Linked DNA regions of Neodiprion lecontei. The protein of the gene in region 1 binds, or shares a complex with, the protein of each later gene. Links are inferred from orthologs where the notes say so. Each region holds a gene or a part of one and is shown on either strand. Other genes may lie near its edges.

The links.
Region 2: MICOS complex subunit Mic60 (region 1) and MICOS complex subunit MIC13 homolog QIL1 share a complex: the UniProt entries of both Drosophila melanogaster proteins name them as parts of the mitochondrial contact site and cristae organizing system (MICOS) complex. The link is inferred for Neodiprion lecontei from reciprocal best matches to the Drosophila melanogaster genes Mitofilin and QIL1.

Annotation. Positions count from the first base shown.
Region 1 is NC_060263.1:18,781,931-18,786,916, reverse strand, and holds the start of MICOS complex subunit Mic60, read left to right. Parts: upstream 1-1,716; 5' UTR 1,717-1,806; coding exon 1,807-1,851; intron 1,852-2,246; coding exon 2,247-2,335; intron 2,336-2,877; coding exon 2,878-2,946; intron 2,947-3,228; coding exon 3,229-3,441; intron 3,442-3,642; coding exon 3,643-3,701; intron 3,702-4,091; coding exon 4,092-4,199; intron 4,200-4,358; coding exon 4,359-4,566; intron 4,567-4,707; coding exon 4,708-4,986. Other genes in the region: 39S ribosomal protein L35, mitochondrial, read right to left, coding at 482-716, 1,075-1,215, 1,292-1,463, 1,652-1,682. UniProt on the Drosophila melanogaster protein: Component of the MICOS complex, a large protein complex of the mitochondrial inner membrane that plays crucial roles in the maintenance of crista junctions, inner membrane architecture, and formation of contact sites to the outer membrane.
Region 2 is NC_060260.1:9,423,394-9,426,687, forward strand, and holds MICOS complex subunit MIC13 homolog QIL1, read left to right. Parts: upstream 1-1,665; 5' UTR 1,666-1,846; coding exon 1,847-1,902; intron 1,903-1,963; coding exon 1,964-2,123; intron 2,124-2,211; coding exon 2,212-2,409; 3' UTR 2,410-2,511; downstream 2,512-3,294. Other genes in the region: cytoplasmic dynein 1 intermediate chain, read right to left, coding at 1-12, 296-392, 501-602; proliferation-associated protein 2G4, read left to right, coding at 2,945-3,029. UniProt on the Drosophila melanogaster protein: Component of the MICOS complex, a large protein complex of the mitochondrial inner membrane that plays crucial roles in the maintenance of crista junctions, inner membrane architecture, and formation of contact sites to the outer membrane.

The DNA.
Region 1 (4,986 bases):
CATGACTGGAAAAATCGAAAAAAAGAACACATTACAAAAAATCCCTAGCGATGTGACTTCTGCTAATAACTATAAAAGCAAGTGAAACAACATTTGTACTAAGCAAAAGAAGTGATATAGAAGAAATTCGAATAATGTGAGCTGAAATATCAACAGTCTGAGAACAGGTTTACATATTTAATTAGAATGTACTAGACGACCAAACTTAGATGCTTGTATTCTAACCCTTACATTTTTAGGCTCATTTTCCTCACTGATCAGGTTCCCATCAATTGCCTCAAAAATATGCAAGAAATCTTACCTATCGTTCAACAGTTTTTATCTTTTGATTCTTGCTGATTTTTTTGCCTTATCTTTGGCTAACTTTTATTCTAGTTTTTCACATTGTTACATTATATGTAAAATTGGTACGAGTTCAACATATACATCTAACCTCACGAATTGATACGTGTAAGGTTCGAGAAATGTATATTATACAGAATTACTTCAAAGACGGTTTAGTTCTGGTGAAAATGAATTCCTCTCTAGAGTGATACGGAGTGTAAGGATCATTGACGTAGAATCTAGGCCTTCGCCAGAAATTGGTTACCATCGTGTCCAGCAGCCAAGATTGTGTAGCATTTACGAAGACGTGCTGTCTTAGCCGTCTTCTATTCGCTGGCGACTTCTTCCAGAGTTTCTTATGTCGGCCTGTCTTTGTGCGAATCCAACAACCCCTAAAGTAGTAACACAAAATTAAAGAAACATTACTACAACATATATCAGAAACATCACCAAGGATTCAATTAGGGTGAGCTGCATTACTTTTTGGTAAGCAAAAATTACCCTTGTTACAGATTTCTAAATAGGTTGCACAGAGAGACTTGAAATCAATCGTGGTCTTTGTATCAAAAGGTTTGGGAACGGTTATTTGTTATTTCCTTTGTATGTTTTGAATAAATTCAAAAACCGGCTCTTAGTTGAGAATTTGTAAATGTGCATCGGGTTATTTTACCACTTAGAAATTTAAGAATACAAATTCATATCTGCGTATTTCTAATCAATGAAAGAAAACTTCATCAGTACAAAGATTACCAGTTCAGTCTGTAGAATCGCTTGATGACCGCCTTCACACATTTTCGTTTCCCTTTCTGGAGTGAAAACTTAGTCAACGTTCTCACAGGGACTTGCGTTGACTGAATAGGAACTGGCAAAAGCATCCCTGCTAGAGGTTCGCTGAGTGACAATAAGAAGGAATAAAAGACAGAATGAAATATGTAAAGTGTTATAAATTTCATTTAATGGCCGTTACCTGATTATCGAAACTCGCGAATCCCTAGCCGAGTCTACGAGGGGTCGAAAATAAGTAGAAAGGGCGCTGAAACATCGGCAATTTGTCGTCGCGGTCGTAAATCCAGTAGGGATGAGTTTAGAGAGATTTGAATGTCCCGCGCTTACTCCGGCTGCGCGCGCAGTTCCAGCGGCTGGAAAATCAAAATGGCAGTGAGCTCAGCACTGCTAACTTAACCTCAAAACTTGTTGTAATCCAGCTGCAATTTCCCCCGCGGACGCCGTAAGAGCGTGAAATGTAGGTGGAAACACGGAGAGGCCGATTGCCAGGTTGAGGAACGAGCCGCGGTCGAAAAATCCCGGCGAAAACCGGGGCACTCACCTCGCCAAGCCAGACCGACGATGCGCAGCATTCTGCAGCCGCTCGGTTAGTTCCGCGATTCCGCGGTCCACGATCAGCTGTTTGACTGCTGGGCCCCACGTTAGACCGTCGTTCCTTTTTTCCCCCTTGGCTGAGCGACCGGCCGCCCGCGAAAAATGTTCCGAATTGGATTAAAATTCCCGTGCAACGGTCTGAATCGGGTACGTAGAGCGTCTTCTGCTGGTCCAAATCGCCAGCGAAATCATGCGTCTGTCCGTCGCTCGCGGTATCATCTCGTAGATTTTTTACACGTTTATTAATGTTTCCGGCCATGGCGAAGCTCGAGGGCTGACACGAAGGTCGGCCAAATCGCCTTCCTCGGCACCTCGGTTCGAGGATCGTCAGTGTTTTTTTTATTTTCACTTATTAACCAACACCTTGGCTGTCTCCCATCGGTTTCCGTTGGGAAAGTTTCAGTCGTGTTGATATCTTCATTGGCTTCTCTTCTGAGCCGATGACAAGATGGCTTGACTCAGACACAGCAGCTTACATAATTCTATGTTACTCTGATCAGCTTCGCGTCATATGTACTAACACCCTGACCCTATGTTTTCAGGTTAAGAAACACGGGTATTCCAGACTCTATCTGCTCAACGCCAGGTATCACGAGACACGAACTCCCATCAAATGCGAACCCGATGGCAGGTGAGAATCGATTCTCTGTTTTCATTCGGCGCCACTCTTGTCAGTTTCTGGTTCGATCCCCACTTTGATGTGTCAACACTTAAAAATTTATCGTGTCGAAACCTTGACGTTGAAAACTTCATAGCAAACCAAGTTTTCATATGATGTGGCTCAGCACGATATAACTGCAATCCTATTATCAAATCTGATATTTTGCCCCTATTTCATTGATTTCATTCATTTATTTATTACTTTGTATTTGACTCGTAGTTAAATTTCTTCGAAGCAAAACGCTGGCGCAGTTGAGATCCTCAGAAATTACTTAATGACAGAAGCACCGATGGTTTGAGTCAAGGGTTGTATCAAATAGTACTGCGATTGGTTTTTCTTGAATCCTCTAGCGTCAAAGTTTCACAGACCTTATATTTTCCCCTTTTAATTATCCAGAAACAGATTTGAACTAGATTTTATCTCAAAAACATTTCCTTGATTCATTGCAGTTTGTTTAAGCTGGTATTTTTTTTGGCAACGTGTAAATTACAGTGGCCAGTTTCTGCTTTCAGACTTCTAAAGGACGTTAAACTTACGTCCAGATTTTCTGGACCTAAGTATTCGACCGAAGCACCAAAAAGGTATTTGAAATGTGTGAACCGAGATATTCGGCCAGCTTGCATGTTGTAAAAGTATATTTTTCTGCTGTTTAACAAGACTACCGGTTTTGTTTGCATGTAGGGGTTTTGATAGTGGGTGAAATTTGGAAATAGAACCACATTTTCGGCCTGTAATTTCTTTACTCTTGAATGAGGTTTTAATCATTCTGCTTATAATTATTTATGCCAAATTTGCATGATGTGAAGTATTGAAAAAATAATTGCATTACAATCATTAATTTCCCAACGTCAAATCTTCTGCAGAGAGAAAACCCGAGGTTCAGGTGGCCTGATAACACTCGGAGCTTTGACAATCGGAACGTTTGGTATTCTCGCTTATGCCAAGCAAGATCCAGAGTTCAGAGAAACGTTGGAAAAATGGATTCCCGGCAGCAACAAAGTGATCCAAATCATCTTTCAAGAGGAACGATCACTCTTCGATTCTCTGAGAGATCTTTACGAGAGAATTACGCAAAGGTAATCATAGTACAATCAAAATACTTTTCTAAGATAACTTGAGCACTAAACACCTGATTCAAATCTTGTCTGGTTCATTTTTCACGAACTTTATTGATGAGATAAAAACTGAGACAAACAATGCAATAAAGCGGAACCTGACAATAGAACTCCATCTAAAAGTTGTCGTTAAAAATAGCTCATTCGACTATCTTTTTGCAGCTCCAGTCAGCCAGATTGGAATCCATCGGAAGTAGGGAAGAATCCAGTGATATCAGCCTGTAAGAGGACCATAGAGAATTATATACGTGAGCCCTGTCCCTCCCATCCTTATTATCCTTACTTGCTGATTAAAAGATTATGGTACAGTTCAAATGCCGCATAATCGTGCATGGCTTAAATAAAATCCGATTCGCTTACTGCCAATATGATACAAAACAAGCTGAAGCAGTCAATACTGTGAATGAAAATTCGGACCGAACTGTGCCATGTAGTTTCTCCCAGGTTACACTGCCCTGCATGATTATTTTTAAACATTAATTACTGACTTACAAACTGTAATTTGGTAACTTGACTAATTATTTGAACTGAAAGTGAGTGAAAAACATTATGTATGTGTCGAGTGGACAACTGCACAACTTACTCGACTAACAATTCATGTGTTGCTTTAGCTCCGAAATCAGCGTTTGAGACATTGTCTGATGTTAAGGAACCGCCGAAGAATGAACAGTTTTACCAAATCCGCTTCGTCGGGGACCCAAAAGACGAAGTTGAACTCGGTACGTTGATAACGACGGTCAACGCCTATTTTTGCTAATTATTTTTCACTAAAAACAGCTTTCGAATAACGTATAACTGTCCCAATAGTCCAGAAACCTAACAATATTCCCAAGCTCGTTACTAGCAACAAATTATTCACCATTGCGCACATTTTACAGCTTCGAAAGAGGTTTCATCACCAGCCAAGGATCATCAGGACACTTTGCTGCCTGAAAATCTTGTCGAACTTGAGGCGTCCTGTGGACAGGCTGCTGCAAGAGCAATCGAAGCTTATCATACAGCAACGTGCGCGATCGAGAAGTACAATAAAGACGTAGTCAAAGTAGTAGAAAACACCGAAAACACAGACGTTCAATTTTGGGACAGGTGAGAATGCGAGCATCAGTTCGACATCGTTGAGAAGTTATAAAATCCAACAAAGTCTGTAAAACTCTAGTTTCAGTTTGACTCTAAATTTTTTTCATGTTTTTACTTATGTTTTATGTGTTTTTGTTCTTTATATAAAAGATTGAAGGATGCAACAGAGGCGAGGAAAAAGGCGCTGGCTGAGGCGGAGAACAGCGCAGGCGAGGCCTTGCGTTCTTTGAGAACATTGTCGAGCCTGATCGACGACCCGAAGCTCGCTGCATCCCCTGTTTCGAAAACGGTCGCGAGACGAAACATCAAGAAAATAATCGACGACGTTGACGAGGCAAAGCAGAAGTTTGACAAAGAGGCGCAGAGCGCCAATGTCACCGAAAGGTATTGGAAACAGGTTCTCAGAGCGAGAAAAAACTTCGAAGACGA
Region 2 (3,294 bases), on another chromosome or scaffold:
TGGATAATACATCTGTAAGCATATAAATGTATAATAAAATGTGGCATTTTTTAGATAATATTACTGAAGCCTGACTAAAGAAATTTTCTAAACATTGATCTTAGCAGAGGATAGGTTTTTCTAATTTACCTGAAATATGAACAAAACATAGTCTTTCATTAGTCACAGAAACTGACAAACATAAAATGGTTATAATTCAGTTTATATTGCAATATTTAAATATAAATCCACTAATAATGTATGACGAGGAATTTTTCGACAGCGTGAAATACGTTTCAAAGTCTGCATTTTTTACCTGATACCGGTGCTACCCCAAGGGATGATAACATGGCATCTAAGTCTTTCCGATGGTCTTTATCGGCACCTGCAGCTCGTACAGTCGCTTCCTCAACCTTGTAAAAAATATTACACATTTTGGAATAAGAGAAGAATGAATTCAATATTCTGGTGAGAAGAAATCCCTAATCAGTGATGTTCTGCCGCTCGATTTTTCTTCTTACATCTTTTTGTTCCTTTTCTTTACGCCGCCTTTCCTTTTCCTCTCGAATCGCCTGCAGCTTGGCCTTCTTCCGTTCTAATTCTGCTTTTCGATCCGACATCATTGCAGCAGTGCCCCTCTTCGTTGTGATGAAAAAAGATTCGTAGGTAAATATTTGCAACAAGATAAGATATTTGTTTATTAACCCTGTACACTGAACGAACAGATGTGACTGAATTTCAGTGGGAACCTTTTGTATCGTATGGATAGGTGAACACGAACCATGAAACAGATTTCATAAAAGTTTGAAAATTTTTGTTTAAATCTAAGTAAAATTCTTATGGATTCAGGTACCTAATAGCATTGACAACTGTCAAAAGCTTGAGGAAACGTTATTTTAGATGGGAAAGGGGGTTAAGACCAATATGTTCGTACATTTCCGGATTGAATACAGAAAAATCGTATTTTCGTAATGTACCGGTAACCGCCGACCGCCTTTTAGAAATTCAATGCAACGCTTTCGTGATAGGGTAGATACACAAATGTAAAGAGTTATTGATTTCTTATCATACATATCCTATAGATATGTGCATATGTATACCTATGTGTATCCACCTTGAATGCCACGTTATGATTCACGAATGACGTAAGTGAAGGAATATTTAATAACAGCACGAGAAAAGTATTGTCAGTAAACTCTATTCCATTCTTGTCCATAAACGAAAAATCATTAGAATTCTCAGCGTGTGTCAGGCGGATAGCAGCTCGATCTAGCAAACCGTACGGGTTCGAAAGTTTCAAAGATGAGTACGAAGCTCCGAATAATCACGAAGTAAATCATCATTTACCTTAAAATATCAGAATCAAATTCACTTAGCACCGAATATTATATACTTTAGAAGAAAAAAAATCACTAAGAAGTTCGCTATAAACGTCAACCGACTCTTTACCCGTTACGTCTGACGTACGGATCCATTTTCCTTCACACGCTATACTCCGGACTCGCTTTCCACGCTGTGAATCAAAGGAGACATTACAACTAATGAATTATGGATGAAAACACACGCATATATTTTTTGTATTCAAAACTAATATTTTTGCATCTGACGGTATTTCTTTACAATAATAATATTAAATATATAAATAGTATTTGAAGGTGTTTTCTTTTCTTCACTTCCGGCTGTCATCTTTTACCACGGAGTATCAAGAATTTAGATACCGATCGCAGACGTAACTTAACCTAACCTACAAACGACATTTATGTAATTTAATCCGAATAATCGACTTCTTGCGTGGGTGATATCCGTCGTTAATCGCTCTTTGCAAAGTAAATTATAAAAAAAAAAAAAAAATAAGTTAGATAAAATAATGGGCGTCTTGCGGTTAGTATATGCATTGAAGTTTAACGAAGCTCTGCTGGCACGGTATTTGACTAGACAGAATTTGGATTAAGGATGGAATAACACATCTCAGTTTACATTACAGATTTGCTGTGAAGGCCAGCGTAGCCGGTGGCTTTACTTATTACACAATTCGAGAAGGTCTTTGGTCCGATCCAGAGGAAACTGTAAAACTGTATGGTAGAATGTACAACAACATAGCACCATACGTGAAAAGAAATATTCCCAAGGAAGTAGCAACAGAGGTAGACCTTAGGCTTCGAGTATTGTTATGGTTTTATGTGTTAGAATATGAAATTTCAATTAATTGATCGGCGCTGTATTTTATTCTAGCTTCCCGAACTGCCTAGTGTCACAGACATTACGTGCTTAGTTAAATCCTCATGGAACAAGGGCGTGATTACAACATTTAAGTTCATATCGAATTTACCTGAACACACATCTAATGCAATCGAGGCGAGTGGAATCAAAGGCGCTATTCTTAGTGCGATAGATTCTGTCAATACCCCCGAGAAACCAGCTCAGGCTTAAGAATTGAATGCTTGTTTTAAATAATTAACATATTTATTTTATTGTCGTATTAGTGGCAATGCATAGTTCCATGTGTAAATAAAGGAGATGTCAAACTCTGAACCAACTCCCTGAATTATTTCACGTATACCCTACTGTGTCGTACAAGCGATCTTATTTACCCTAGTGATCTACCGATGAAGTTGTGAAAGGTTTTACAAGACCAAGTTGACAAAGTTGTTGAAATCACAGATGATTGCGCAGTAAGGTGAAAAACATTACATAGGTCATTAAAACTTCGAATCTTAAGATCTATCGAAGAAGACCACCTGAAAAATATACTTTGGAGGTTCTTTGTTAAATCATTGATTATATTCAGCAGCTGCGTGGAATTAGATCGAAACAATTTTAAATTCCCCCCACAACTCCCGGGTCAGGGATTTTCCGTTGCCATGTTTCCGGTTCCGCCGGGAGCGTCTTTGGTCCAGAGCGCCATCTATTCTTGGATGAAAAGCAAGAGCAATTGTGTCACGTGACCGGTCAGTGTGCAGAAGACATGGCGGACAAAGAGGAGGCTGAGAAGACAATCGCCGAGGACTTGGTTGTCACCAAGTATAAGATGGCCGGCGATATAGTAAACCGTAAGAAAATACAGCAGAATAAAATGAGGATTTTAATGAACATAAAATATCCACCGTAACAACGAGAATCTCTTGAGTTTCGAATAAAATTACCGATGGCCATATGGAATGTGGCGCGCCAATGCCGGGCCTCCTGGCCATGTGGGTTGGCGTCGTGCCTAATGAACTTTTTCACGTCGTTTCGCAATTAATAGTTAATTAGTTAGATATGTCACAGCTATTTTTTCGTACCCCAAATCGATGGTTCGATTAACACGTAAACCGG